Linked DNA regions of Elephas maximus indicus. The protein of the gene in region 3 interacts with the protein of the main gene of each other region in a biochemical or structural test. Links are inferred from orthologs where the notes say so. Each region holds a gene or a part of one and is shown on either strand. Other genes may lie near its edges.

Region 1 (8,226 bases), on a different chromosome or scaffold from region 3:
GGCCACACATAGGCCCCACAGAGGTGTGAAAGGCATTCTAAGTCCATGGACTTCTTATGTCTTTGTCTAGGCAAAATGGCTGTGCCTTCGCTGAGTTCCCATTAAGCCAAATATTATCAGTGGAGGCTTGCAGAGCCACCACTATCTACAGTGGTTGTATACCTTGTCTAGAGTCATCTGTTTACCAGGTGTCTGCTGGCAATAAGCCTTCCCCTCTCTTGGAATTGGGGGAGGAGACTCTGGTGGCACGCTAGCCTGTGCTGGGGAGTCATCTTGATATGTCACTGGACCAGTACAGCCTGTAACTCTTGGGCCAATGGACTGATGGAATGCACACTGCACTATTGCATGTATGCATGCCATTTGCTCAGCGTAGCTGTCTGGATGATAGATGATGACAGCTTGGAAAACAGCCTGTTGACCCACCCATTTAAGGGCAAAGTTGTGTGAAGGGTTATAGCTCCAACCCCTATTAACAGTTCCACCTGGTGGAGAGCATTATAGGCCACCGACAACTTTTTCTCCCCGGGACTGTTATCAATTTTCTGCCCTTCCCCATAGTTGGAACCAAAAACCTAGGAGGACTGTAGTTTCATCCTGATCTTGTTATAACACCCAGTCAACGCTGTTCTCGGTGCTGCTTAAGTCAACTGGAAGGGTAATCCTTCATGTATCGCACCTAGTGCTTTCACTTGTGCAACAACACCTTGCCTTCTAGAAAGCTTGCTGGTTCATTACCCCAATCCCAAGGGGGACCCTTTTTTACCAGTTGATAGAGTGGTCTCAAGCACTGGTCCAAGTGGGTAATAAATACTCTCCAATACCCCAAAAGACCCACAAAGGCCTGCACTTCTTTTGGTGTCGTGGAAGGGGGGGAAAATTTATATAGTATCATCTATGGTTTCCCTAGGAATTTTACCAATGTTTCTGGCCCCTGCACCTTTTGGGGATTCACGGCCCATCCTCTCCCCTGTAGGAGAGTGATTAAGATGTCTAGACAGTCCTGTAACAGAGAAACGTCTTCAGCAGTTAACATAACATCATCAGTGTAATGAAACCAACAAATGGTAGCAGGAGAGGGGAAAAAAGCCAGATTCCAAGCAACCAAATCATGGTATATAGTGGGACTATGTAAATACCATTGGGGTAGCACTCAGAACGTCCATTGCTGTCCCCCTCAGATGAAGGAAAACTGGTCCTGAGCAGATGGGGCAAGAAGGATGATAAAGAACACATTGGCCAGGTCTCTACTAAAAGTTTCCAAATAGGAAGTTACATTTGGGACTGCAGCATGTGTAGGAGGGATCGCCTTGTTCTCCATAGTACACAGTCATACTCAATGACCCATCTGACTTCTTCACAGACCATACAGTGCTGTTAAAACCACAGCTGGGCTTTCTGGGGGATTACCTACCCTTTTCAATTCCAAAACGATTTCACTGATTTCCTTACATCCTCCAGGCACCTTATATTGCCTGATGTCTACCACTCTTTGTGGTGGAGACAGGACTACTGGTTCCCATGCTGCTTTTCCCCTCAAGACTGCTTCTACCACCTTCACCTGCAGTCAGAATTCTCCCACAGATGTGATCAAACTTAGTCCCATGAGGACATCCACTCCTAGAATGTATTCTGGTATTGTGGAAACACAAACTTCATACAATTTGGGGGTAGTACATTCTACTTGTAGGGTCAGGAGTACCTGATGTATGCAGATGGACTTTCCACCATACCCATTGTCTTTATTATCTAGTGCTGCTATAACAGAGATACCACAAGTGGATGGCTTTAACAAAGTGAAGTTTATTTTCTCACAGGCAAGTAGGCTAAAGTTCAAATTCAGGGTGTCAGCTCCAGACAAAAGCTTTCTCTCTGTGTCAGCCTTCTCATCAATCTTCCCCTGGACTAGAAGCTTCTCTGCGCAGGAACTCCAAGTCCAAAGGACACGCTCTGCGCCTGGCACTGCTTTCTTGGTGGTATGAGGTCCCCCTGTCTCTTTGCTGGCTTCTCTCTTTTATATCTCAAAAGATTGACTCAAGACACAATCCAGTCTTGTAGATTGAGTCCTGCCTCACTAACACAACTGCCATCCATCCTCCCTCATTAACATCATAGAAACAGGATTTACAATATATAGAAAATTACACAATACCAAGAATCGTGGCCCAGCCAAATTGATAGACATTTTTTAGGGGACATAATTCAATCCATGACACCTGTCAATTGCCAAGGGGGGTCCTTGAACCTGTTCAGGGTTTCCAAAGATAGGGGTGCATTCTGCCCCTGTATTAACCAGAGCTAGCACCCCACTGCTTGTTTTGTGACCTCTACATGGGGCCTCTGGTCCCCCTGCAGGCCCCTGACCTGCAGGTTACCTCAGCCCCACCCGTAGACCTTAGGGATTGGCAGGATCTACCTGGTGGCAAGGGGCACTTCTTCACAGGGGAAAGTGAAACCCAGAGGGCAGTATTATTGCTCTGGCTTCAGATTCTTCCAAAGATTGACCAAAACTGCATCTGGTTGTTTATCTGTCTTTTCTACTGTGGTCCTGGCAGCCACTAAGTCCATCCATATCTGCTTCTGGGTTACTTCCAAAGGGCCCTTGGACAATTGTCTTAGAGGCTTTTCAGCTTTTCTTTTTTCTCTTCCCATAAGGAAGCAGGCAGTGGGATCCAGAGGGTGGTATAGTTGCTCTGGTTTCAGAGTCTTTCAAAGGTTGACCAAAACTGCATTCAGTTATCTTTTCCACTGCGGCCCTGGCAGCCACTAAGTCCTCCCATATCTGCTTTCGGGTTACTCTCAAGGTGCTCTTGGACAGTCACCTTACAGGGCTTTCAGCCTTTCTTTTCGCTCTTCCCACAGTGTGCAGCCCCTTCTCTCTAGCCCTGTCAGTTTCACCTAAGTTGGCTATGGCTTCTCCCACCGTAGACTGCCTGGCCCACTAGGGACGAACTATAGCCACCAGTGTTCTGTACCAGGCAGGCAGGGCTGGCTGTTGGATCTTTCCTATCATTCCCACAGTAAACAGTTCATTGTCTGGTCCCCAGAAGGGTTCGGCATAAATGGCACATACCTAGCTCCCATATTAGTTGCTGTAATCGACTGTACTAGGAAGATCTCCCCCATTTGCCCATGCCTTTCTACAACACAAGATGATCCAATTACAGAAAGTGTGTATGCCCTCTGTGTTCTGAGCTGCATGTAAACACTGTCGGTGGGCGGGGTCAGTGGTAATATAACCTGTTTTTTCTGCCTCAGCTGCCTTAAGAAACACTGTCTCCCCTGATATCCCACAGATATAATAACCAAGCTGCAATGGTTTCCTTTCCTTTGTGCTGGAATTCCACATACAATTCAATCAACTCAGTGAGGGTGTATTCCTGCATTGTCACAGAATTGCTGGGTAGAATTTCTTGTCTAGGGTCATCCCGCTTGCAGGTAGTTTTTATCTTATGGGAGGGGAAAGCCATGCTCCTCCTCTAATATCACCACCACCTGAGTCACTACCAGGCTTGTCATCCCAAGAATTTCATGTTTTCACTTCCCAGTCACCTTTCATCAACATTGCCCTGATCTTCACATTTGGCACTTTCCTTCCCCCCTCCCCCATCTTTACAAACCTGCAGGCAAGCATTTCTAGTTGCTCATCCTGTTCGTGGACACAGCTGCTCAATATGTTAGTCATGGCCACGTGCGACTGCCGCATATCCCTTTCCAACTGTTACTCTTCCTGCAAAGCTCCTATGTGTTCTTCACCAGCTAGCTGGGTGTCAGTGGCCAGCCGAAAGGGCCAGACCAGCGGCCACCCTATGGCCCCTACTGTTTTCCTAGCTTCCGTTCCACACTTACGAAGGCGTACATCTTCCTGCAACCAGGCTATGCCGCTTAGCATTTTCAGGGCATCCCTACACTCACCGGGAGGTCCACACACATCAAGCATACAGCCAAACCGTTCCACATGGAGGTTGTTGGCCAACCTGGGATTTCCCCCCCAGAGGCCTCACTCCCACTTGCCATTTCTTCAGTCTCTTGGCTGGCTCGCTAACTGTCCTGGCAGAGACCAACAACTTAAAACTTGTCTTCAAAAACGGAGGGTGCTTGCTGAGAGCGGCAGGCAACTCCAGAGTGCCAACAAAGGAGTTTCTTAGGGAGACTTACATGCGAGGAACGTCCTGGGCAGCAGCATGACTAAGCAGATCTCCTCGCCCCGTGGTGGGGGACAGGGCTTTTCTAGCGGTGGCGAACAATAGTGGCTACATGCCAGGGACGCCTCTAGACTTACATAAGACCGCCTCGGCAAGAATTACAGAAGAATGACTTAGCAAACGTTAGTGAACTAGCAGAAAGCAGGAGTGCGGCCTCGCAAAGCCTGTTTCCCCTTCAACATAAAAGATGGCAACGTTGCGGGTCCCGTGCCACAGCAGAAGCGAAAGTGAGAAAATCTAGTCCTAGGGCTTCTCAAACTCAACTCCACATTTACTCAGGCCCAGGATAACCCCTCAGGTCAGAATGAAAAACGCACGGGGTCGTGAGGCCCGCCACCTGACGGACTGCGCGGAAACACAGAAAAGAGGGGCGGCGCAAAAAGCAAGCGGCAAGGCAGGCGGAAGCGGCAGCTCCTTCGGCTTCTACCCCTTTTCCGGCCTCCTCCCGGCTCCACAGCGTCTGTGAGACACGACGGCGCGGCGCGTGGGGGTGGGAAGAAAAGAAAGAGGCGGGCAGGCGCGCGAGGCGGTGCCGCGGGGCGGGGCTTGGGCGCGTGCACGTGTGTGCGTGCGTGCGTGCGTGGGCGCGGCTCGCCGCACGCTGTGCGCGAGGCGGATGTCCGGGCCGGCTGCGCCGGGGCCGCGGATGAGATGGCGGAAGGCGGAGGCTGCCGTGAGCGACCGGATGCGGAGACCCAGAAATCCGAGCTAGGTGCCTTGATGAGGACCACGCTCCAACGGGGGGCGCAGTGGTAAGCTGTGGGCCCGCCCTTCTACGGAGCACAGCTGGGCGCAGGAGCCCCGGCATTCAGGCCCGGCCCCTTTCAGCTTGGGGAGGAGCCGGACGGGGGCGGTGTCTGGTGATCTTGAGAGGGTGGCCTGACCCCCGCCCCTTGGGAGAGGAACCCTGAGATCGGTACTGGGAGAGCGCGGCGGGACTGGAGCTCATACCGGCCCCTTCAGAGCCCTAGGGGGCGGATCCGCGGGGGCAAGGGCTGCAGGATGGGGAGGAAGTGGAGTGCTCACAGGGATCATGAGGGTGGGAAGAGCCCTGTGTCATCGAGGACTCCCCTTGTGACCCTGGGCGAAGACATTCGCTCTTTGTAGACATTGGTTCCTTACTAGTAAAAGCAGGGTAGCAATACTTGGCCCACAGCCCTCACTCAGTTGAGGCAAGGATCAGAAGTAGATACTCGTAACTTGCAAACTGCAGAACAGATGTCAGGGTCAGAAGCTGAACAAATGTCTGTGAGCTCTAGATTATTTTGATAACAAATGTCAGAAATAATTGTGGTAGCAGCATATTGGAGTGGGAGAGGAGGGTGGCCTGGAGCCTAGAGCTAGATAGAAGATTAGAAGTACAGAATTTAGAAGAACAAAGAAAGCTGAGACACGAGGTTTCTTAATAGATTGTTTAGTAGAAAAGGCATTACCTTCCAATAGTGGAGAGATTACTGGGTGGTATTGTGTGGGAGTAGAAAACAGGTTAGGGTTTGCAAAGAATAAGAATGAACTTCTGCCTTTAAGAAACCATGGTGGTGATGATAATGTCATTTATAGTGATAGAGGAATTGAGTTCAGAATAGAAATATTGAGGTTAAGAGGAGTTCAGATACAGCTTTACAGTGTTTATCTTGAGCTAGCCAAGTTTTAAAAGGCAGAGCAAGCAGAGGTACTTTGGAAGTTATCCTGTTTAGGGGTGATACATGAAAAAGAATACTCGGTGGAAGGAGAGGGAGTTTACGATAGACTAAAATCACACAAAAAGTTTGTGGAGGGTATTGCTTAAGGGGTTTGGAGAGAAAAGAACATTTAGAAGTTTGGATATATTTGTGGATCCTGTGGCCTCTGGGAAGCTGCCTGATCTTCTCTAAGGTTTGTTGGTTACAAAATTTGAAGAACTTATGAATATTTGTGTTTTGTTGCCCCACAGAGGTTTCTCCCTCCTTCTGTCTTAATCATAAAAGTGATACTTTAAAATATAACCAGGTTTGCTTACTTTTCTTAAGTATAAAAAACAATAAGTTAAATATGAAACACAGTTTCAGAATTTTTGATAAGATGAACACAGTAGACACTAACTTTATGTAAATGTGTATATATATACATGTTTGTTTACATGTGTATATGTGTACTAATTACACATATAAGTATAAATTGTATATATATGCATATGCGTACTATTTTAATGGGTATTAGAGGAAATTATTTGTTATAGTCTAGTCAGATATCATCAAGGAAGGAAGAAAAGGAGGTGCTTTCACACATTTTTAATATCTTGTTTGGTCCACTAAGGAAATCTGAAGTAGGTGGAACTATTATCCCATTTTCAGAAATGAAATCAATTTAATGCTGTTCACATTAAGCAAAGCAGTGCAGCCACAAACTGTCTGCCTGGATGAGGACCTCTGTAGAAATCGTATGGAATTAATGACCGGTTGATCGCAAACAGGATTCTACCCATAGAAAGACTTAATTTAAATAAACATTTTGAAGCCAATCATTTCCTCCCTTCCATTCATTCATTCTTTTAAACAGTCATTTCACTTAAGGGATACGTGCCCTGGGCCATGCCCTCAGTGCTGTGTAGAGCCTGGCCCTGCTTCTGCTCTTGAGTCTGTTTTTTAATGGGGGTTGTAAGTGACCCAAAAGGAAAGACCAGAAAAGAACGAGGGGATAGGCACAGAAACTTGTAATGCCAGCTTTTCTGCCACAGTAAGTTTTTGTCTGTCTCTAGGTATCTTATTGACAGCCGTTGGTTCAAGCAATGGAAGAAGTATGTGGGCTTTGACAGCTGGGACATGTACAATGTGGGTGAACACAACCTGTTTCCCGGCCCGATAGATAACTCCGGACTCTTTTCAGGTGTAGTATCCTATTGCTTTTTTAGGTAAAATGTCTACTTGGGCAGTGGCCCGAAGGTGTGTTTATCTGTAACATGGACTTTCCCAGCATGAGGAGATAGAAATAAGTATCTTCGATTTGTGTGTATATCAGAAGCCTGCAGACCCTCCGAGAGAAGTTGAACTGCTTTATTTCCCTAAATTAACTGCTTTTAACAAGAGCATGCTTTTAGCATTTTAAATTTCTCTCTCTCTCTCTCTCTTTTTTTTGATAAATTAGCTCTGCTAGAGATTTCAGCTTTTAGATTGGTATACGGGATAGAAAGAAATAGGATATCATTTTGAAATTGGACCTGGAATCTGAAACTTGGAAACCAGAGTTTTCTGTGTCACCTTTGCAGTTGAACAAATTGTAGACGGTCGATGTTTGTCAGGTATTCTTGTGATAACAGTGTTTGTCATAAAAGTAGAATGAAGAGAGGTGGAAGGTCGGTAGACAGAGTTGTGACCACAGTCAGCTCCCAGTGGGGACTATGGAAAAAATGATGCATGACACACCTAAAATTGGCTTGCACCTGTAGATGCACAAAGATGAGAGAGTCAGCCTTCCCAGGCTTTGCTCTGCCTGACTTCAGACTTGCTCACAGGCAGGACAGAGGTTATCTGTTACCTGTGCCCAGAATCAGGGCAACAGGAAGGCAGACCATGTATGAAGCTTGATCCAAGTACCTAACAGTAGCCTGGATATTTTTAAAAATGAGCAACACTGCAGCTCACACTTTGTCTTAGGGTTGGTCTAAATGACGTAATAAATCACTGCCATTTGGTTTGTTTCCTGATGGAGGCCAGAGGGTGGCACTATACCATGACATTGCCTTAGCAGTTAGGAAGCATTGCATTGTGTTTACTTTTTGCCCTTCACCTTGTTTTTTAGAAAAGGAGAGATTTTAAGGTTTTAAAACTAATGATGAGAATTCTCGAGCTGAAGGGACCCTCAGAGGGCATTTTGCATGGCCTTTAGCTAAGGGAGAGCATTCCTGTTGTGGTCCCCTGTTTTTATGTCACCTGCCTTTGGCTTGAAACATCTGCTCTATCTTGAGAGGCGAGAAGCACATTCCATTCAGACCCTGGAACATTCACAGTGCAGGAATGACCTATTGCTGGCACATGAGGTTCAC
Region 2 (7,443 bases), on a different chromosome or scaffold from region 3:
CTTCCAGTCACATTGTCCTTTTAGCTCTGCTTACTTGCCAGGACTACTCCATTTCCAGCTCCCCCCACAAACCGAACTGGCTGCTCCCTTGGCCTGGAACTCACTTCTTATCTTCTCTATCTGGCTAACTTCTACCAATCCCTCAGGTCTCAGGTCAATTGTCACCTCCTTAGGGAACCCTTCGCTGGCCTCACTTCCCAGAATAAGGTCTCAATGCACTGTGTCCCTTTCCCTTGCCACACTTACCACAGCTGTGAGTTTACATTTATAATTAGTTGAACAATATCTCTTCCTTTTCCAAAAAGATCTGTTTAGAGCCCCGATGCTATTCATAGCACTCAATAAATAGTTGTAGGCTAAGGGGATGCTTCTGAGCACCTATAACATGTATAATGGGATAAAAGGTGTTATGGGTCAACTGAAAGCAGTCCAAAGCCAGACACAGCCCTGGCTGACCAGGAACTTAGGAACCTGACAAGACACACTGCTACACACAGACAAAATGGCAGCATATGAGGTATGCCAACTGAGTGAAGCTGAAGGAATTCAACAGAAAAACGAATTCCCATGGAATGAAGCAGCCTGTGATGGGTTTACGGAGGAGGTGGCCTAGAGCTGGTGCCGGAGGGACGGACGGGCAGAATTTATGTCAAGGCGTTGAGAAGGATGCTTGTCCCAGAGAAAGGACTCAGCCAACCAACCTGTCAGGAGCCAAGAGGGAGGAGAGGCTAGAAAGACAGGGTGGGACCTGACTGTGGAGGAGCCTCAAACGACAGGATGAAGAGTTCGGCTTTGTAAAAATAAAAAACAAATTAAGGTTTTTGAGCAGGGGATGGGAGTAATTCTAGAAAACTGTGCCAAAGTGGTTAAGCGCTACAACTGCTAACCAAAAGGTCAGCAGTTCAAATCCACCAGGTGCTCCTTGGAAACTCTATGGGGCGGTTCTACTCTGTCCTTTAGGGTTGCTATGAGTCAGAAGGGACTCAGCGGCAATGTGTTTTGTTTTTGTTTTTTTTTTTTGGTTTTTAATCCATACACAGGGGTCTGGTGGCACAGTGGTTGAGAGCTCAGCTAGTAACCAAAAGGTCGGCAGTTCGAACCCATCAGCTGCTCCTTGGAAGCCCTATGGGGCAGTGCTACTCTGTCTTTTAGGGTTGCTATGAGTCGGAATCAACTCGATGGCCAACGGGTTTGGTTTTTTTTGGTTTAATCCATACATACGGGAACACGTTCTTAGGCCCATATTGATAAAGCTGGAAACAAATTCTACCTTGCAATATCCTGACTTTCCAAGTCTAGAGAGCATACAGAAGTCATTCTGAGCTAGAGATGACAGAATTCGAGAATTCTGTGGGGCTGCAGAATGATCAAAGCCCTGGTGGAGCAGTGGTTAAGAGCTTACCTGCTAACCAAAGATCTGCAGTTCAAAGCTACCTGCAGCTCCTTGGAAACCCTACTGGGCAGTTCTACTCTGTCCTGTAGAGTCACTATGAGTTGGCATTGACTCTACGGCCATGGGTCTTTTTTTTCTGCTTTGGTAGAGTGATCAGGTTCTTCTGTTTTTTACTGCTAGGCCCCTGGCTATACTCTGACCAGGACAAATTTGAGCCAGTTGTATTTCTCAGGCATCCTCAGCCATAGGGTTTGTTGGAACCCTAGTTCCCACATTGGGAGAGAGAATATTACCACCTGCAAAACTGTACTCTGCCCTCCAGCTCCAGCTCTGACATCCCTCCAGGGGTTGCTCTGCCCATTCAGAGCTGATGGGATTCAGGCAGGGCCTGGAATGTCTATCAACTAAGTGATAAAGAAGGGTGGCCGTCTGAAGTAAACGCCTGACATGGCTGGCCAGCAGCCTCAACGCCCCACTCTGCTCGCTGCAGCCAGGTTCCTGGGAAGAGATGAGCAATTTCCCATCCCTTAAGTCCAGAAATGGAGCCCTGGTGGTGCAGTGGTCAAGAGCTACGGCTGCTAACCAAAACGTCAGCAGTTCGAATCCACCAGCTGCTCCTTGGAAACCCTATGGGGTAGTTCTACTCTGTCCTATAAGGTCACCATATGTTGGAATTGACTCAACAACAATAGGTTTCGTTTTCTGGTATAAATAACTTAAAATACATATAATTGAGGCTGAGAGCTTAAACTTTTTTATTATTTATTAAGGCCAATAAAATTTGGAAACTACTAACCTAGAGTTGGTGCCCTGATGGTGCACTGGTTAAGAGCTTGGCCGCTAGCCAAAAGGTTGGCAGTTGGAATCCACCAGCTGCTCCTTGGAAAACCCATGGGACAGTTCTGTTCTGTCCCACGGGGTCGCTATGAGTCAGAACTGACTCAATGGCAACAGGTTTGAACCTAGAGTCAGCTTAGCAGTCCTGATGCCTCCTTCCTATCCCCCTTCTCACTCTCTCCCAAGAAGCTCAGGGCAAAAAGTGTAACCCACTCACCTACCCCGAACAACGTGGGGCAGAAATCTGCAAGTGCCCTGAGACAGTAAAGGTGAACCCGACACCCGCTCTTCCAGCCCTCTGCCCACCCCTGCCTCTTCCAGGCTGCACAGAGCCCTACCTGATTGTGCCATCGGATGACGTTTCCAAATGCCCCTGTCCCAAGTCGTTCCTTCATTTCCCAGGGCCCACATGTCTGAGTTGCCAGGGAAGGTGACCAGCTCATATTGATGTTGCGCTAACTCTGTAAGTAATTCGGGGTGAAGGACAAAAAAAGTTAAGAAAAAACGGGGCAAGTTCCTGCTCAGGGAGATGGAGAAGGCAGGGCATAAGTTTTGCCCTTCAATACGACAGGAAAAAAAAAAAAAAAAAACTGAACTGGTTTTTATCTTGTAAATAAACCAGGTTTTTTTTGTTTGTTTGTAGTTTTAGGTAGTAAACTTCTGTCTTTCTCACCCGCCCTCCAGTTGTTGTGGAAGGAAGTAGAGAGGAAAGTCACTCAACTGAGGTGATGCCCCACACCCCATGACCTCTAGAGGGGATCCCCTTCCGTGCCCGCATTCTCCCGAAAGCAGCAGGGAGGGGATCTAGCTCTGCGCGCCACCACGGTCACGTGCGCCTCTACAAGGTCCCAGAGAATCACGGTTCTCTCTCAATGCCACCCACCTCTAAGCAACCACCTGGAACCCCTCTGGCCAAGGCTGTTCTCCCGGGCCTCCCAACTCCAACCCGCTAAAGGGAAACACTTCCATGTCGGCAAACACCTGATTTTTAAACTCGACGAAAGTTTCTACGGCAGCCTCTAGTGAGGAGATGGAGAGCCCGACCGGGGCAAGGAAGACGCGGGGTCCGCAGGTGGGCACCGCAAGGCTTCCGCTCCCTCCGGCCCGCGGGACTCACCTGTCGGCAGGGACGCCTGGCAGGGGAAAGGCTCCCCGGGCCGGGGAGATGGGGGCTGGGGCAGCACAACCGGGGGCTCTGACACCACCCCGAAGACATTAAAATGCGGGAATCCTAACCCAGCCAGCAGAGAGCGACTTCCTCAAACACTTCCTGCTCTGACGTCACCGCGGCACGTGGGCCTGCGACCGGCTCTTAAAGGGGCCGCCGCAGAGCAAGCCCGGGTCACTCCCAGTGCCCACCGGCGGCCGCGCGGAGCTTGGGTCCCCCCCGCGACCCCTGCCCGGGTGACTGCCCCGTCCCCCCAGAAAGAAAAATCCAATCCAGTAGTGTAGTGCTAAACTAAAGTTCCAGTCTCAGTGATGTGGGGAGTCTCAACTCTGAGGCTCATCTCCTACCTGCTTGGCATTATCATGAGGTCCTCTACTAGTGAGTTTCTCAGTCCTAATCTTAGTAGACAAAGAAGTTTTTTGTATGTTGGTGTATTTTACTCAAGAGAGAAAAGAGATTAAAGGACCCTGATAATAGTTTATAGAGTGCTTACTAAGTGCCAGGCACAGTCCTAAACTCTTAGATTTCCTCTTTTAATCCTCACCGCAACCCTATAAATTAGATAATAGCTGTGTTACTATTGTCACCATTTTACAGAGCAGGAAACTGATGCACAGAGAGGAAAAGTTTTTATCCCAAAGTCATAGGGCTAGTAAATAAATGATTTGAGATTCAAACCCAAGCAGCTGGTTCCTGGGCCCAAACCAGTTGCCTACGAGTGGATTCCGATCGTATAGGACAGAGTAGAAGTGCTCCATAGAGTTTCCAAGGAGTGGCTGGTGGATTCGGACTGCAGACCTTTTTGGTGAGCAGCCATAGCTCACTGTAGCTCTTAACCACTGAGCCACCAGGGCTCCTTCCTGGGCCCATGCTCTTAATATTTGGTTAAAAGTAGCGTGCTAAGAGGCTCAGAAGGAGGCAAACTAGATTTTGAATCCAGATACTGCTACCGACTACCTCTAAAACTTTAGTGCAAGTTACTTAATTGCTCTAAGCCTCAGTTTTCTCTTTAAAATGGAGGCAATATTAGGTTGAATTGCATGAGATTGCCTTTAAAAAAAAATGCACATTTAGAACTGTCGTTTTGTTGAAACATTAACAACGATCAAAGATCAGCAACCTCATTTAGTTCGGCTTAATAGCAGCAGGAGGACACAGAGTCACAGGAGGAGATGCCAGCAGGGTTGTGGAGAAGAACAGATGAACTCATGGTGAAAGCAGTGCCTGGCACAGAGGACATGCCTGTCACCTAAACAGAGCCAGCAGGTTGATCTTAACTCTTAGGAACAGGTGTCCACCCAAACAACCAACAACTACTTGAGCAAATAGTTGTAGAGCGCTTGTTATTGTTGTTAGTTGCCCTCCAGTCAGCTCCAACTCACGGTGACCTTATGTATAACACAACCAAATGTCACCATCTTCACGATCACTGGTATATTTGAGTTCATTGTTGCAGTTATTGTGCATTTTGAGTGCCTTCCAACTGTTACAAATGAAAGCTTCCACAATATTAAATTTGCGTACAAACTCACAAGCTTTATTTTTCAGTTCATGAAAATTGGGTCTGCAAGTCTGACAAGCGCTCTGAAGAGCAGGACAAAGCAAAAGGGTTATTTTGTCACAGACACACAGGAACAAGGAAGACACACTAGGCAAATTTTGAATTGGCTGGCAGGCATTTTCTTTCTTTATTTGGGATAAAGGGGCAATTTTGAACTAGATTAAACTCAGCAGGCAAGTCCTAATTGGCTAGCTTAGGTTTTAGTTTCAGATTTTGGCTCCTGGTAAGACAGGGAGCAAAGGCCCTGAGATCGGAGGGTGCCCGTTTGAGAAATAGCGAAGGGACTGGGGTGGTTAAAGGAGAAGCAAGTAAAAGAGAAATAGACTATACTATCAGGGAGGTAATGGGTTGAATGTGGAACCTAGAGACTTAGTAAGGCAGAGAATGGAGGGGCCCCCAAATGTGGAAACAAAGTAACAAGAAATGGGCCAGGGCACAGAAACAAAGCCATTCCCCAGAACAATGGGAGAGGGTATCAAAAAATAGCTTGCAAACTTCTTTAAAATTGCCTTTCAGAAGCAGCTGGGAAAACCAGGCCCAGGGACATGCGCAGAACATCCACCTGTGACTGCTGTGTGACCTTCCACCAGGGGCAGAGAGGGGCTACAGCCCCAGCCGGGGAATTGAACCCAGGGAGCGAGAGACTGAGCAGGCACGACACCCCACAAATCCCAGAGGGCTCTGAGACAGGAGCCGTCTTGGAAAGCTGCTGTGTGCGCACCTTCGTTAACATGTCCCCGCCTGTGTCTGTGAATAAACATGAATCTTTTCCCGCCCAAGAACTTTTAAAAACTCAGGCCCGTCTTTAAGAGGGTAGCGTTGCTCTAGGCCCTCCATATCACCGCTTGCAAACCTCTTCAATAAAGCTTTGCTCATGCGGAAAACTCTACGTGCCTTACCTGCTCGTTCTTGACCAGTAAGAGGCAAGAACCTTATTCCGGTAACACTGAGAAGGTCAAGCATTTACAGGAGTAGAAACTGGCTAGGTTTTGGTTTGCTAATGTGGGGCTAGCGTAAGTAACTCCATCTTGGGCCCACTACAGTAAGGTTAACGCTACGTAGGGGGTCATCTTCCAGTACTATGTTAACAATATTCCATTGTGATCATAGTGTTTTCATTGGCTAAATTTTGAAGTAGTTCACCAGGCCTTTCTTCCTAGTCTGTCTTAGTGTAGAAGCTCTGCTAAAACTGGTCCACCATGGGTGACCCTGCTGGTATTTGAAATACCAGGGGCGTTGCTTCCACCATCACAGCAACAAGTAGGCCACCACAATATGACAACCTGAGAGATGGGTGGTGGTGTAAAGCACCTTCTATAAAGCTCTTAAAAAAAAGAAAAAAAAAACCTGTTGTAATAAAGTCAATTCTGACTTATGGCAACCCCGTGTGTTTCATAGTAGAACTGTGCTCCGTAGCGTTTTCGGTGGCTATAATCTTATGCATGTAGATTCCCAGGACCTTCTTCCATGGTGCTGCTGGGTGGATTAGAACCACCAACCTTTTAGTTAATAGCCAAGCTCAAGCCATTTGTGCCACCCAGGTAAAGCCCTTAGTGCCTTGCATATTCCAAAAACAATATAGGTACTTGTATAATAAATAAATGAAATGTATGCGCTCAAAATATTTCATTTATTTATTATACAAGTACCTATATTGTATTTAGAATATGTGAGGCACTAAGAATATGCACGGCACTACCGGAAACCCTGGTGACATAGTAGTTAAGAGCTAAGCTGCTAACTAAAAGGCCAGCAGTTCGAATCCACCAGGTGCTGCCTGGAAACCCTAAGGGGCAGTTCTACCCTGTCCTATAGGGTTGCTATGAATTGGAATAGACTGGACAGCAATGGGTTTGGTTTTTTGGTTTGTATGTGCTGGGCCCTATGTAGAGTCTGTTTTTTCCCATATGATGCCATGAAAGGTTTCTCTTTAATTCTGTCACTACTGAAAAATCACTGTCCATGAGAAACTTAGGGAGGCATCGTTGATATGCCAAAGGTTTCCTCACTGTACAACTTTAAGAGTTCTCATTTTGTTCAGCTCAAAATAACTTAGTTTTCAACCGAACATAAATCTCTCTGATGAGGTCAGATGCAGTACTAGATTTTTAAAAAGAAAGGGTGATGGCTCAGGAAGGGGCCTCTGGGTTTTATCATGTCCCAAGATATTTATCATGTTAAACGCTCTTTTCCCTCCAGATAAGACATGTCCACGTCACTGCCTACATCTGCTAGCAATCCTGCTCTGGAGGATATGAGCGGACTGTTTCAAAAGATATTTTCAGCTGCAGCAGAAAAACATTCCTTTTTATTCCTGCTTTGAGGCTGTGTGCTATTGAGCAGTGACTATAGGGTAGGGTCCCTATGAGTTGGAATCCACTTGATGCCAACAGGTTTTGGTTTTTTGGTTTTTTAAAGGGCAGGGCCACCACACATCACAACTGGACCAATGAGCAACATCTTGATAAACAGAAAAAATATTGA
Region 3 (8,337 bases):
AACTGGAAGAGACCTTAAATGATCTTGTTCAATTTTTACATGAGAAATCAGAGGCCCAGGAAAACGAGGTGACTTGCTCAATGTTATAGAAATACTGTGTCAGAATCAGTACAGCACCTAAATTTTCTAAGTACCAAGTCCAAAATACTTTTCCCTACACCACACGGCCTTTACTTCTTGCAACCTGGTCCACAATGTACATCCCTCACAATTTATTCTAACATTTTCTACACCCAGATCCAGAATGATAAAAACTAAATCACTAAAAAAAGGTAGATTTCTAAGGCTGAGAATGTACATAATGTGACAACAGAACTGCATTTAAGAAATGCCGAACTGAAATTTCTGAGTCACAACATTAGGAATCTAAGGATTAAAATTAGCTGATGCCTTAGAAATATGCATCTACTAAATGGCTGCATACCTGGTCTATGGTTCGAGTTATTTTTTATGTACTTTCTAGTTCTGGTCATATAATGCTGATTCAATTACACTGTTATCTGAGAAATACAGGATATGATTTTCTTTAAATGGGAATAAAATACTTTTTGTTTCTGATCATCCTCTATTATAATGATTTTAATCTAGAAATGGAATCTAAATTCAGAAATAGTTATTGAGCACCTAAGGTGCACCCTGGATTATATCAAACACTTTTAATGTGTGCAAATGAAGAATATGATGGAACTTATGTAATGGCCTCAACATAAGAAAGGTCCTAATTCAATCTTTCATATGAAAACAAACTGGGTATTAAAAAATCAAAACTAAACGACCGCCTAATGTTAGAAAGAACTTTTTATCAAAAAGCAAAAGTCTACGCCCCAGGATATCCTAAATACACCAAAGGAAGGCTGAAGCACTATCTAAATTGAAGGAAAGGTTTTGGAAACATAAACACCTAATCAGAAGTGAAATGGCTTTGGGGGAAGAGCAGCAAAATGAAAAATGTCTCAGTAACTTCCTTTCTTCCATAAAGCAAGAAGACAAAAAGCTTTACAAAGTAATGTGCAAAAACTAAGTTTGCTGTCGAAATCAAATGAAAATAAGCCTCTGAAAGAATCTGGTAGACCATAAAGTACAAGTTATTATTACATAACAATTTGTAGTCTACAAGCATAGCCAATTTACCGCAGAGTAGACAGAGTAGACGTAAATGCTTATTTAAAAACTGCAATTCTTGTATACTGACTCACTGAATTTTTATTCTTAAAAAAGAATGTTAGCCATGAAAGCTGGATCAACTATCCACTTCTGGAAAAGGAATTTATCATAGCCTCAATCGGAAAAAAAAAAAAAAAAAGCACACACACAAAATTCTCCTCTCTTTTCAAAACACAGATCTTCTTTTAGCCCTGTGACCTTAAGGCAGGTCACTATTCCTCTCTGGAACTCAGTTTCCTAGTAATACGTGTCAGGCCTCGTGTTGGGTGTTTCACATACACTGCCTAATAAGACTGTTATACAGATAAAATTAAATAGAAATTATTATCCTTGTTTTACAGTTAAGAAAACTAAAGTTCAAAGGGGTTAGTTAGGAAATGTGCCCTAAACCACATAGCTAACGTGGCACATCTCACATACTGAACTTTCCTCTTAAGTCAAAAGATCCTGTTTTTCCCATTGTGCTACCTTGTAAAAAAAAAAAAAAATGAAGGTTGTTCTTAATGATCTCTAGGTTGTTTCAAGTAATAAAAATGTATGATTTAGTAATTCATTATTCTTCCAAAACATGAATAGGGAAAAGATATATTTATTTGGTGAACATTAATTATCTCACTAATTTTAGCTTGCTGTAACCTAAAAGTAATTTTAGATTTTTACAGTAGAGATAACGCTGAGATTTCATAACATGTCCACAGGACATGCTGAGTTCTTTATAGTATAAAAAAAAATAAAATAAAAATAAAATCACTACATTTTTAAAAGGATAAATAAATGGTAACTATTTGATACATCCCATTTTCAACCAGTTTTTAAAAACACATTCTAAAGTGTCTTTAAAATATATACACACACTTTTACTTTCCTAAATTTCACAGTCCTTATTACCAATCGCCCCTCTATGAATGTGAACAGAAGTAACGTACTAAAGGCACACTAAAATATCTCGCTCTAAAATATCTTAAATTATTGAAGAATACAGAATGGATTCAGGTCTTCTAACAGCAATTTCTAATCTGGTGATATATTCTAGCTGTCGCCGAGATCATGAGTTCTCTCTCCAGAACATGCTACTTAAAACATCTTTTCATTATAACAGACCAGCGTACATTACTAATGGCGAATTCATCTAAATTACCCAACTGAAGGCAGAACATTTAATATTACGAGTACTGCTCTATGATATCAGCGAAACAGAATCATTCGGTACCTGCGGAAACACTTTGACTTCATCTACTACTTTAATAAGCATTTATTGAGCGCCCACTATGTGCCAGGCACTGAGCTGTAAATCGAATATAGTATAATCCTTGGCCTTTAAAAACACAACATGTAGAGAATTGAAACGGCCACGGTCTTTGCTGAATTTACTACTTACAGAAATGAGAACTGGTGGACCACACTTTCTCACCAGCTCATCCTCCTATTTGAAGTGACCCAAATCCAGACACCGGAGTATCAAATCCAAACTCGAGTGTCGAAGTGAGGAAAAAAGAGAGCTACCTCAGAGCAGCTGAGCGCGAAGAGTCCCCCCACACCCAGTCTCCGAGGGGTTGTGGGGAATCTCGGCTCGACCCCGCCGGGGAGGCGCCTTCAGAGCCAGGATCCGGCAGAAGCGGGGGCGAGCCGGAGACGGCGCTCTGTGCCGGGCCTCGCTCACCTCTTCCACCTCGATCTCCTTGTAGTCGATCTCTTCAAAATTGAGGACCTGGGAGGGGGCTTCGATCATCTCACCGGCCGAAGACGAGGAGGAGGAGGAGGCGGCAGAGGCTGTAGACATGATCCCTCGCCGCGCCCGAGGGGCCCGGAGAGTCTGCCACCCAGACACTCCGGGGCAGACCCGCGCCCACCCGCCTCCGGACCGACCTTCAGTCTGGAGCCGCACAGCCCGGCCAGCCGGCGATCCGTGGCGGGGGCAGGAACAGCGGCCACAGCCGTGTCCCGGCTCCGGCTCCGCTGCGTTTTCCGCCGCCGGGCCCCGCCCACCTGACTTCCGGTTCCGGTCTAAAATCGGAAACAGGAGGGGGGCAGCAGGTTCGTGGGAGGGGAGGGGAGAATTTCGTGACGGGGAAAGAGAAAGGAAGGGCAGGCTGGGGTAGGGTGAAGGCGCAGGGGCGGGGGGCGGGCGGGTGAGAGCCTGTCTTGAACCTGTAAAACAAATTTCGCGAGATCTTTGCTAAAGAGGCTCAGGAGACGGATGTTACCGCGAGAGTTGATGCGCTGACATAATTAAAATGCGCGAGCGGAAGTGACACAAGCCTGATGGCCAATGAGTGCCGTTGGTCTTTTAGGAACCAGCGGGAAAGATAAAAACTATGGTTCCCACTGTTTGTGAGTTGCGTCATGGCTCCACTCCATCTTCTTTTAGCGGCCTGCAGACGGGCAGAGCAGTATAGGACCGAGTTTTTACGACAAAGCCCACTTTTCGTTTTAAACCGAAGCTAAACTAAACTGTATCTTTAAGAAGCCTCGCAAAACGTGTTTTCCTCAACGTGGAGGGAGCGGTTGGCTATTATTTAAACCAGTCCCTGATACCAAGAGAGAGTCTGAAGAAGTTAATAGTACAGAGCTGGTCAGCGTATTCAACATAAGTAACGCTCTGGAGGCTGAGTGCTCACGAAAAGAAGATGACATATTGGTATAACAAAGTTAACACATTTAGATAAGGTAGATATTTATAATTTGGCATAATTTGACATGTTCATCTCGCGTTTTAGATTGTATTAATAGCATTTATCGAGTGCAGAGCACTATGTTAGATTCATTATATTTATAATTTTATCGTTACAATGGCCATGACAAGTTAAATATTTTTTCATCATTTACAGGACATGAGAAAATAAATTCAGAGAGATTAAAAGAATTTCTGATCCAAAACCTATGCAATCTGTCTCTAAGGCAAATGGTATTGTCTACGTTGTGCTAAAACTCGAATAGCATTGTCTATGTTGGGTTAAAACCCATTGCTGTCCAATGGATTCCAACTCATAGTGACCTAATAGGACAGACTAGAACTGCCCCATAGGATTTCCAAGGCTATAAATCTTTATGGAAGCAGACTGCCATGCAGCTAGTGAGTTTGAACCACCACCATTTCAGCAGCCAGGTGCCTAACTACTGTGTCACCAGCGTACTTTACGTTGTGTTACCAAAAAATATTAAACTAAGCTGTTAAAACTTTATTACTTTGACTTGAAGCCTAAGTGTGGAATTTTGGAGTTAGAGACTTAAAAATGATAATTATATATGGTGGTTGGAGCAGTGGGTTTGGATGAACTTACCTAGGAACAGGTCTCTGGGTGGGATAAATCTGTGTTTGACTATTAACCAAAGGGTTGGTGCGTGGAACCCACGCAGCAGTGCCAGGGAAGAAAAGCCTAGTGATCTGCTTTCCTGTGATTAAAAAAATAAGCAACTGTTGCCATTGAGTCAATTCCAGCTCATGTGACCACATGCCCCTGGGTGGTACAAATGGTTTATGCTGAACTACTAAACGCAGGCAGTTCAAACTCACTCAGTAGTACCGCAGTAGAAAGGCCTGGTGGTATGGTTCTGTCAAGATTACAGCCAAGAAAACCTTATGGAACTGTTCTTCCCTGTAACGTGGGCGAGCCATGAGTCGGAATGAAGGCAACGGGCTTGGTTTTTCTTTTTTTCTTTCACCTAGGAGCACTGTGTTAAAAAAAAAAAACCAAGACGGAACCCTGTGAATGTCAAATTCTAAGCCTCAGAAACAGAAAAGGAATGGTTTGAAAAAGCAAAATGACTGGAGTGGTGACCTGGATGGCATAGGAGGAGAGCTGTTCAATTAAGGAGTAGTAAACCAAATAAATGCTGTAAGTAAAAAAAAAAAAAAAACCAAACCCATTGCCTTCAAGTCAATTCCAACTCATAGTGACCCTATAGGACAGAGAACAACCCCATAGAGTTCCCAAGGAGTGCCTGGTGGATTCGAACTGCTGCCCTTTTGATTAGCAGGCATAACTCTTAACCAAGGTGCCACCAGAGCCTTAGTTGTAAGCAAATAAGTAAGTTAAGCACATTTCTGATTATAAATAGGTGATTGGATTTAGCAATCAGGAAGCTATGAACTAGAAAGCATTCTGTCATTTCCAATTTGTAGTTCTAGTGACACTTAATGATAGTTTGGTGAATGGATAAAAGGATGAAAGAAGAAATAATTTCTTCTCAGTGTATATACTCTCTGGATGATCTTACCCAGGGTCTTGGTTTCTCATACCATTTTTGTAATGACTTTCATTACCTAGCTCAGATTTTTTTCTGAATTCTGAACCTGTTGGATATTTTTATTTAGGTGCAACAAACACCTTAATTTCAAGATGGCAAAGCTAATTCAGAATCCATCCGCCAATACAGATATGTTCTTCCGATGCATTTCCTGTCTCAGTTAAGGATCCCGTTACCCACTCAGTTGTCCAAGTGAGAAATCAGGATGTTATTTCTACATATGAAATGATGCTCCAAAACAACAACAACAAAACCAAACCTACCCCATTGCCATCCGGTCAATTCCAACTCATAGCAACTCTATAGAATAGAGTAGGACTGCCCCATAGAGTTTCCAAGGCTGTAACCTTTATAGGAGCAGATTGCTAGGTCTTTGTCCCGAGTAGCAACTGGTGGATTCAAATACCCCAAATACCCGACCTTTCAGTTAGCAGCTGAGCACTTACCCATTGCACACCAGGGCTGCTGAAATGATGCTCAGTATACTAATGATCAAATAGAAGCAGATAAATCGATGGAATAATCTGTCTTGAAAAAATTATGTTACAGGAGACAGGAGTGAAAGGAAACAGGCACATCCTTCACTTTTGTTGAGAAAAAGGCAAAGATTGTTTCTATTGTTTATAACAGGCAGAAAGTAGAATCAAGTCCTCAATCAACAGAGGATTATATGTAGACTAGTACTTCTCTTGACTGCTTTGAGTCAGTTTTTCATATATCAGCCAAAATCATGTTTTAAAGTCTCCAGCATGATCATATCACTCTCCTGCTTAAAACTCTGTGACATTTTGTGCCTGGAATTTACGGTGCAATGAATTACTTAATATGGCCCTTCTAGCCTTGGCCTTTGTGACTCACACACAATTATTGAATGGGACTATGCAAATAAGGTGTATGGAACCTGTGACGGTTAGGGTTATGTGTTGACTTGTCTGGGCCATGGTTCCTGGTATTGTGTGGTTGTCCTCCATTTTATGTGTTGTGGATCCTGACCTCTACATGTTAATAAGGCAGAGTTGGTGGAAGGTGTGTCTTGGGTCACAATCTTGTGACTCAAGTCCCACCCTTACTAAAGTTACACCCTTTCCTGGGGTGTGGACTGCATCTGAGACCTATGTGTGTGTCCTTGTGAGGCTCTCTTTCTCCCTGCATCTGGATCCCCTGTCTAGTTTGTGATCAGCTGACCTCCCCAGAAGCCTGCTGTATGACCTACCAATTCTGGGATTCGAAGGCCTCCCCAGCCACTTGGGCCAGCGGCCTATTGTACAACATGATTCACCACCTTTTGCAACCTTGTGAGCCAACAGCCTGTGGTCTGAACTGCCAATTTGGGTTCATCAGCTCCTGCAGCCACGTGGGTCAGGAGAAGCCTATGCCTGACCCACAATTTGGGACTTGCCAGCCTCCACAACTTCATGAGCCATTTCCTTTATATGGTTGGGGAGTTCTGTGAGGCATTGCAGTGAATTAGGGACCCCAAAGATGGGAGGGAGAGTACTGAGGGGAGAGGGAGTAGTTGATGTTAGAGATGATGGAGTGGTATAGCAGCTTGGAAAAGTTGGACATTTGGGACATCTTTAACCTCCACCTCATAGTTACCAGCTTTGTACTAATTGTTATAAAAGAAATTATTTGTTTAGAGTTGAAAAAATACTCAGCTCCTGCCTGCCTCTCCCTGGCATGTTAAGGTCCAGTCACACAGGCTTCTTTTCAGTTTCTAGAATAAGCCAAACTCTTTACCACCTCTGGACTTTTGCAACACTATTTCTTCTGCCTGGAATACTTTCCTATCCTGCTTTTGGAGTACCTGGATCCTTATCATTTTTCAGGCTTTACATTAAAATTCACCTCTTAGGCCTTCTCTGACTATTCCAGATACTTTGATTATTTTTGTTCATTTCCTTCATAGCATATATCACAATTTGTAATTTGTTTTCTTTACATATTTATTGTCTGAATCATTATTAACCTGTGTATACCTTCATAACCACTTAATAAATATTTATTGAATGAACAAATGCAATAAAAATCTATGCAGCTACTAAAATAATGCGTTAGCTCTATATGTACAGATATGGAAAGAAAAAATACTATTTTCAAATTAAATAAAATTTTAAAAACAGCATGTAGAGTAGGATCCTATTTCATTATACATATACAACTTATATATGCATGGTAGAAAGTCTGTTGTTGTTGTTGTTAGGTGCCATTGAGTCAGTTCCGATTCATAATGACCCTATATACAACAGAACGAAACACTGCCCGGTCCTGTACCATCCTCACAATTGTTATTATGCTCGAGCCCCACTCTGTCAGTCCGTCTCCTTGACGGTCTCCATCTTTTTTGCTGACCGTCTACTTTACCAAGCATGCTGTCCTTCTCCAGGGACTAATCCCTCCTGATAACATGTACAGAGTATGTGAGATGTAGTCTCACCATTCTTGCTTCTAAGGAGCATTCTGGTTGTACTTCTTGTAAGACAGATTGGTTCATTCTTTTGGCAGTCCATGGTATATTCAATATATAAATGAAACTATGAGTCAGAATCGACTTGATGGCAATGTTTTTTTTTTTTTTTTTTTTATCAATAGTGGTTACCTCTACAGTAGTTTCTTAGGAAGATGGATGGGGGCGTATGTGTAGGAACTTCTGTTCTTTATAGCTTTCACTATACAGTTCTTAACATTTGAAATTTTCATAACAAGATGTATCCAAATAAGTTAATCATGTAGCAGAAAACAGGCCTATTTGGGAATTTTGCAGGTTATCTCATTCATTTTATTGCCCTAAACTAGTGTAATCCATCATGTATTTCCACCTAAGGACAAAATGCAGGTTATACTAACTTCATTAACTATCTTTTTTGATGTTTAACCATTGTAATGAGAGGAACTGCCTCCCTCCTTCCAGCATCATATAATATG
Region 4 (7,444 bases), on a different chromosome or scaffold from region 3:
CGTAATTATAGATAAATAAGTGTTTAGTGTTGTCATTTTGACGCCTTTTTGTGTGTGTTGTTGCCAATTTCCTTTTTCCACATACTTTTTTGTGCTGAGATGTTTTTCTTAGTAAATTGTGAGATCCTCATTTTCGTAGTGTTTGACTTTATGTTTGTTGAGTCGTTACGTTTTTCTTGGTTTTTATCTTGAGTTATGGAGTTGTTATACCTCTTTGTGGTTACCTTAACATTTACCCCTATTTTTCTAAGTAAAAACCTAACTTGTATTGTTCTGTATCGCCTTGTATCACTCTCCATATGGCAGTTCTATGCCACCTGTATTTAGTCCCTCTTTTTGATTATTGTGATCTTTTACATATTGACTTCAATGATTCCCTGTTATGGGCATTTTTTTTTTAATTAATCTTAATTTGTTTTTGTGATTTCCCTATTTGAGTTGATATCAGGATGTTCTGTTTTGTGACCTTGTGTTGTGCTGGTATCTGATATTATTGTTTCTCTGACCAAACAATATCCTTTAGTATTTCTTGTAGCTTTCGTTTGGTTTTTGCAAATTCTCTAAACTTGTGTTTATCTGTAAATATCTTAATTTCGCCTTCATATTTCAGAGAGAGTTTTGCTGGATATATGATCCTTGGCTGGCAGTTTTTCTCCTTCAGTGTTCTGTATATGTCGTCCCATTCCCTTCTTGCCTGCATGGTTTCTGCTGAGTAGTCTGAACTTATTCTTATTGATTCTCCCTTGAAGGAGACCTTTCTTTTCTCCCTGGCTGCTTTTAAAATTTTCTCTTTATCTTTGGTTTTGGCAAGTTTAATGATAATATGTCTTGGAGTTTTTCTTTTTGGATCAATCTTAAATGGGGTTCGATGAGCATCTTGGATAGATATCCTTTCGTCTTTCATGATGTCAGGGAAGTTTTCCGTCAGCAGATCTTCAACTATTTTCTCTGTGTTTTCTGTCCTCCCTCCCTGTTCTGGGACTCTAATTACACGCAAGTTATCCTTCTTGATAGAGTTCCACATGATTCTTAGGGTTTCTTCATTTTTTTTAATTCTTTTATCTGATTTTTTTTCAGCTATGTTGGTGTTAATTCCCTGGTCCTCCAGATTTCCCACTCTGCATTCTAATTGCTCGAGTCTGCTCCTCTGACTTCCTATTGCGTTGTCTAATTCTGTAATTTTATTGTTAATCTTTTGGATTTCTACATGCTGTCTCTCTATGGATTCTTGCAACTTATTAATTTTTCCACTATGTTCTTGAATAATCTTTTTGAGTTCTTCAACAGTTTTATCAGTGTGTTCCTTGGCTTTTTCTGCAGTTTGCCTTATTTCTTTTCTGATGTCTTGAAGCATTCTGTAAATTGGTTTTTTATATTCTGTATCTGATAATTCCAGGATTGTATCTTCATTTGGGAAAGATTTTGATTCTTTTGTTTGGGGGGTTGTAGAAGCTGTCATGGTGTGCTTCTTTATGTGGTTTGATATCGATTGCTGTCTCTGAGCCATCACTGGGAAACTTGTTTTTCCAGAAAATCTGCTGACTGGGACGCTGGCTCCAGGCTCCGAAAACAGTCGCTGCTTCCCCGTATTTGTTCGTTTTCTGTCTCTAAATCTGTGTTTGTTGTTCAGGGTTCGTAGATTGTTATGTATGTGATCGATTCACTTGTTTTTCCGAGTCTTTGTTGCAAGAGGGATCTGAGGTAGCGTCTACCTAGTCCGCCATCTTGACCCTGCCTCCTGCAGTAGTGTTTTGTTGTTTTGTTTGTATAGGCCTTTTATATCCCTGGTTAGATCTATTCCTAAGTATTTTATTTTTTTAGGGGCTGTTATAAATGGTATTGCTTTCCTGATTTCCTTTTCGTAGTTCTCTTTGTGTATAGGAATCCAACTGATTTTTGTATGTTTATCATGTATCCTGCTACTCTGCTAAATCTTTTTATTAGTTCCAGTAGTTTTATTGTATAGTACCATATCATCCACAGATAGGAGTACTTTTACTTCTTCCTTACCAATTTGGATGCTGTTTATTTGTTTTTCTTGCCTTATTGTTTTAGCTAGGACTTCGACTTCCAGCACAATGTTGAATAGGAATGGTGGTAAAGGGCAACCTTGTCTTGTTGCATGGAGCCGTGGTGGTGCAGTGGTTAAGAGCTTAGCTGCTAACCGAAAGGTAGGGCAGTTTGAATCCACCAGCCACTCCTTGAAAACTCTATGGGGCAGCTCTACTCTGTTCTATAGGGTCACTATGAGTTGGAATTGGCTCAATGGCAATGGGTTTGGTTTTTGGTTTTGTTTTGTTTTGTTCCTGATCTAGGGGAAATGTTTTCAGCCTCTCCCCATTAAGCATGGTGTTGGTTGTTGGTTTTGTATAGATGCCCCAAAATTATTATTTCTGAAACCTCTCTCTGTATTGATATTTGTGTCTCCCGCTTCACGTTTCAAGACCTGGTGGCATAGTGGTTAAGCATTTGGCTGCTACCCAAAAGGTCAGTGGTTCAAACCCACCAGTAGCTAAGTGGGAGAAAGATGTGACAGTCTGCTTCCTTAAAGATTTACAGCCTTGGAAATCCTACAGAACAGTTCTACTCTGTTCTAGAGGGTTGTTATGAGTTGGAATGGACTCCATGGCAATGAGGTTCTTAATATTTGTTTCATTCTCCATCTTTCAACCCGATCTTAATTTTACTAATTATTTGGCACGTCAGCTCACTGGGAGTTCTCAAAATCCATGTCTTTGCTCATACTATTCCTTGACTCAGAAATGATCATGGCTTCATGCCCTCACCTTCCAGCAAACCTAAGTTTATTTTCCTGGAGAAGTTTCTTACTCTCTGTATTGACATGGTTGGTTCCATGCCCAGCCTTTACCCCTCCCCATCCATCCTTCCTCATTGTATTCCAGTTTTCCTTCTTGTACCAACCATTCAGCCATGCAATTCCAAACACTAAGGGAAATGCTGACTCATCTCCAGTTGCAGGGTAGGGATGATTGAGGAAAGGGAAATTCCAGTAGGATGCTATGCACTGGCTGATTAAATATTTTACCACTTGTGATGGTTAAGGCTGTGTGTCAACTTGGCTGGGCCATAATTCTCAGTGGTTTGGCAGTTATGATGTGGTTGGGCAGCTATGTAATCATGTAATCACCTCCATAATGAGATCTGATATAATGTAATCACCTCCATGATGAGATCTGTTATGAGCAGCCAGTCAGTTGAAAGAGAGTTTCCTTGAGGGTGTGGCCTACATCCAATATAGGTGGACTTTCTGGCAAAGCTTGTGGGCTCACTCTGGATCCTGCAGCTGACCCCTGTTCATCTGACCTTGGTTCTTGGGACTTGAGCTAGCAGCTTACCTGCCACTCTCAGGATTCTTCGGCTTCCCCCATCTGTGAGCCAGAAGCCTGTTGTCTGACCTTCTGATCTTAAGTTCACCAGCCCCTGCAGCTATGTGAGACAGGAGAAGCCTCCAGCCTGGCCCATAGATTTGAGACTTTCCAGCCTCTACACCCTCTTGAACCAACACCTTCTTGAGCCATTTCCCCTCCTCTTGTCTCTCTCTACATACATACGACTTATACATATATGTGCGTGTGTGAGTATATATATATATATATATATATATATATATATATATATATATATATACTTCACTGGTTTTGCTTCTCTAGAGACCCAGCCTAAGACACCACTGTCAGAAGGATAGATAAAGACATGGATTCAGAAAGCGCTAGCTAAGCTAGTGTGCCAGATAATTAGTGGCACCTGGACCAAAGACAGATTCCTAGATGCTGCAAATGGTTTGTGTTCAGCTGCTAACCTAAAGGTTGATGGTTTGAATCCACCCAGTAGTACAGAATAAAGACTTGAAGATCTGCTCTCATAAAGATTACAGCCAAGGAAACCGTATGGGGTGGTTCTATTCTGACACACATGGAATCACCATGAATTCGAATCTACTCAACATCAGTGGGTTTTTCTGTTTTGGTTTTTTTTTTTTTTTTTTTTTTAACCAAAGACAGCATGAGCTTAAAGAAGGAAATGTTGGCATATAAAATGGTTAAGGGACATTGGGACAAGATTTTGAAATAATTGAATGAACAAGGAGGGTTCCTATAAAACTACACAAAGGCTTAACCGTTGTACCACCAAGGCTCCTTAAACTATTATTACATGGAGTTTTTCCATAAAACATCAGTAAAAAACATTTTGGGCTAAAGCTTATGTGTATATGTGTGTATGTTTTCTTTAGGTTACGTGTGTTTTATTTATGAATAAAGGATGGCTCCTCCAATGATACGTGGTTTTGCCCGAACTTGGAGCAAAGGGACTGGGATGACCAACCTGAAAGAAGCATTAATTCAAATGGTGGAAGGAGAGAAAGAAAGTAGACTGGTGGTCATTTTCAACTCTGGAAGAAGTACAAGAGTTTTCCAGCTAAGTAATAATACTACAAGTATGGTCCTTAGGCACTCCAGAGAAGAACAAAGTAGCCTGCATTTAACTTTCCCAAAAAATTGCTCCTTGTTCATTGACAAATTATCCTGTGGAGATGCTGAGAAGTTGAAGAAGTTTCTGGACAGAGTCCACCAAAAGACATCTCAACTACCCATGAAACCTCGCTGTGAATGGGTTATTCTTGGTGGTGGGAAAACACAGGAGAAAAGCAACAAAATCCCCTTTCATAAAGTTGGTGACAAGCCAAGTATTGAATCCTTTAGTCTAGAAAATGGAAGTGGAACATCTGTCCTTCAAGAAACGCCTTTGTTAATGTCCAAATCATCAACACTTGTCAGGACAGGGTTATTAGAAAATCCATGTGGCAAGAGGAAAAGAATGCCATCATCTGATGTAAAAATGCATGAGGACTTTCTGAAAGAAAATAACCCTGTGCTAAACAAGAAATCCAAGACAGATCCCTTGAAGTGCATCAGCAACAATAGGAAGGAACCACTGAGTTTAGAAAATCTAGAAAAGTGTAATAAATCAGAACTTGGACCTTTATTCAATGCCAGCTCTACTGGAAACCCTAACCTAGATGGGAATAGTTTTTCAACCCACCATCTCTCTGTTGAAAGAAGCTTGGCATTTCCCTCAGAACCAAATTGTAGCCAGAATGAACCAGGACAGAAAGAATCTCAGATGCCCTCTAACTCTCACCTACAGCAAAAACGGCAGGGCTTCCCCAATTTGGGAAATACCTGTTATATGAATGCAATTTTACAGTCGCTATTTGCAATTCCCTCATTTGCTGATGACTTACTTAACCAAGGAATCCCCTGGGAGAAAATTCCCTTAGATGCTCTTATCATGTGCTTCAGTCAACTGCTTGTTTTGAAAGATCTTTGTGACATAGAGATCAAGGGAGAGTTACTTGTGAATATTAAAAACTCCATTTCCTCAGTTGCAGCCATATTCTCTGACAACATGCAGAATGATGCTCATGAGTTTTTAAGCCAGTGTTTAGATCAGATGAAAGAAGACATGGAAAAACTAAATGCTTATATGACAGAGAGGGAAACTGGTGAAGAAATTTCCCACCCACAGATTTCTGCGGCTAATGCTTCCACTAAAGTGTTTGTTTGTCCAGTGGTCACGAATTTTGCCTTTGAGTTACAGTGCTCCATCATCTGTAAAGCCTGTGGTGAGGTTGTTTGCAAGACAGAACTAAGCAATTATCTCTCCATCAACCTTTCTGAAGCAAAGCAATCACTCCCTTCATCCATTCAATATTCTTTTGATCTTTTTTTTAAAGCAGAAGAAATTGAGTATAAGTGTGAGAAGTGCAAGCACAAGTGTTCTGTTGCAATGCACAAATTCACTAGGCTACCCAGGGTCCTTATTGTTCATCTGAAGCGCTATATCTTTAATGATTGTCGGGTTTTGGTGAAGGATAATCAGCAAGTTGGTATTCCTATATATTTAAGCTTATCCCCCCATTGCGATGAAAACACCAAACCACCTCTTCCCTTTAGCAGTAATGCACATATTGAGGACTCTCAAGTTCTTAAAGTCTCTCAAGAAATGATTTCTGGGACCACTAGCTCATGGATGTCTCCAATGACGTCGACCTCCACATCCAAGGATTTCCTGGTTCCACACATTGAACCAGACAAGGACACTGAACCACAAAAATGCCAGAGACTTTCTGAAGGATCAAGCCAAGAACAGCAGCAGAGAGACCCAGAAAATGACTCCAAACTAAATATAACAGAGTCCGAATTGGTCAACTCAAGAGATAGGACAGCCAGTGAGAAGGAATGGCCAGCAGCTGACTCAATGATTTATTGGGAAGACACCTCTCTTTCAGTGATCTGTGAACTTGGTGGTAAATTCACCAGCAGCCCAGTTGCAGGTCTTGTACAGGCTCATCATCAAGAGGTGCCTGAAAGCCCAGAACCTAAGACACACCAGACAACAAATGCATCTGTAAAGATAGAGTCTAACAGCATCACTCAGTCTACGGAAGATTTTTATGAGAATAAAGAAAACAGGAGTCCAGAAGAATCTCAAGGAGTGGTTAAGCAGCTCCAGCAGTGTGATGGGAAAAGAATCTATGAGAAAGTCCTTCAACAGGCACTGCCACAAAACCTCAGGAAGCCTGACGCCCAGGAACACACAGAGGAGGACCTCAGTAGATCTACAGAGTTAAGCCTGCTGAAGGATAGCCTGAATTCCCTCAGAGCATTGGGTTCTGGTGAGAACCCTGGAAACAAAGGCGTCTTAGGTATGGAGAACACAGAAGCTGAGGCTGAGGAACAGAAAAGAAATACCACAATATGGGATCCTCATCATGCCTACAGGCTCATCAGTGTCGTCAGCCATCTTGGGGACTCCCCAAACTCAGGTCACTATGTTAGCGATGTCTACGACTTTGCAAAGCAGGCCTGGTTCATGTACGATGATCTCAAGGCCTTGCAGATCCAAGAGGCCAATATGCAGAATGACAGGAGTTGCAACGGGTACATCTTCTTCTACATGCACACTGACATCTTTGAGGAGCTACTTAGAAAGGCAGAGACTTCCCAGTCACAGAGCACAGAGTCACTGGCGATGTTCCTTCATGGGGAACAAGAATAAGATTTCTCTTTGCATAGACTTTTTTGAGGACCTCACTCACGACCACTTGCTCCGTGAAAGGAAATTGCTGAACTCTCCCCAGAGATGGAGAAACAAGTAGCTCAGGATGAAAGCTCAAACAGACACATTTTGTTTGGGGAAACATTTGTTCTAACCCTGCTGCAGGCACCTCAGTCCCACAGCTCGGGCTGGCAAATGTCCTTCTCTCCTACAAGACTAGAATGATGATTTTCATGCTCTAATGCAGTGCTTTTGAAATGTTGTTTCTGAACAAGCAGCAGTAGCATTAGTGGGGAACCCATTAGAAATGCAAATTCTTGAGTTTCACTTCAGACCTACTGAAACAAACTGGACAAGACAGAGC

Evidence for each region.
Region 1: of the proteins of MAP3K7 (region 3) and USP4, one has a biochemical effect on the other in vitro, tested with the Homo sapiens proteins (2 studies listed by BioGRID). The link is inferred for Elephas maximus indicus from reciprocal best matches to the Homo sapiens genes MAP3K7 and USP4.
Region 2: of the proteins of MAP3K7 (region 3) and IKBKB, one has a biochemical effect on the other in vitro, tested with the Homo sapiens proteins (5 studies listed by BioGRID). The link is inferred for Elephas maximus indicus from reciprocal best matches to the Homo sapiens genes MAP3K7 and IKBKB.
Region 4: the proteins of MAP3K7 (region 3) and USP29 form a complex in vitro, tested with the Homo sapiens proteins (2 studies listed by BioGRID). The link is inferred for Elephas maximus indicus from reciprocal best matches to the Homo sapiens genes MAP3K7 and USP29.

Annotation. Positions count from the first base shown.
Region 1 is NC_064838.1:53,785,488-53,793,713, reverse strand, and holds the start of USP4 (ubiquitin carboxyl-terminal hydrolase 4), read left to right. Parts: upstream 1-4,793; 5' UTR 4,794-4,856; coding exon 4,857-4,957; intron 4,958-4,985; exon of another isoform or gene 4,986-6,080; intron 6,081-6,942; coding exon 6,943-7,070; intron 7,071-8,226.
Region 2 is NC_064840.1:58,150,140-58,157,582, forward strand, and holds the start of IKBKB (inhibitor of nuclear factor kappa-B kinase subunit beta), read right to left. Parts: upstream 3,506-7,443; 5' UTR 3,348-3,505; intron 2,692-3,347; 5' UTR 2,674-2,691; coding exon 2,569-2,673; intron 1-2,568.
Region 3 is NC_064819.1:154,409,847-154,418,183, forward strand, and holds the start of MAP3K7 (mitogen-activated protein kinase kinase kinase 7), read right to left. Parts: upstream 3,162-8,337; 5' UTR 2,945-3,161; coding exon 2,825-2,944; exon of another isoform or gene 2,543-2,824; intron 1-2,542. UniProt on the Homo sapiens protein: Serine/threonine kinase which acts as an essential component of the MAP kinase signal transduction pathway. Plays an important role in the cascades of cellular responses evoked by changes in the environment.
Region 4 is NC_064829.1:89,425,558-89,433,001, reverse strand, and holds USP29 (ubiquitin carboxyl-terminal hydrolase 29), read left to right. Parts: upstream 1-4,281; coding exon 4,282-7,080; downstream 7,081-7,444.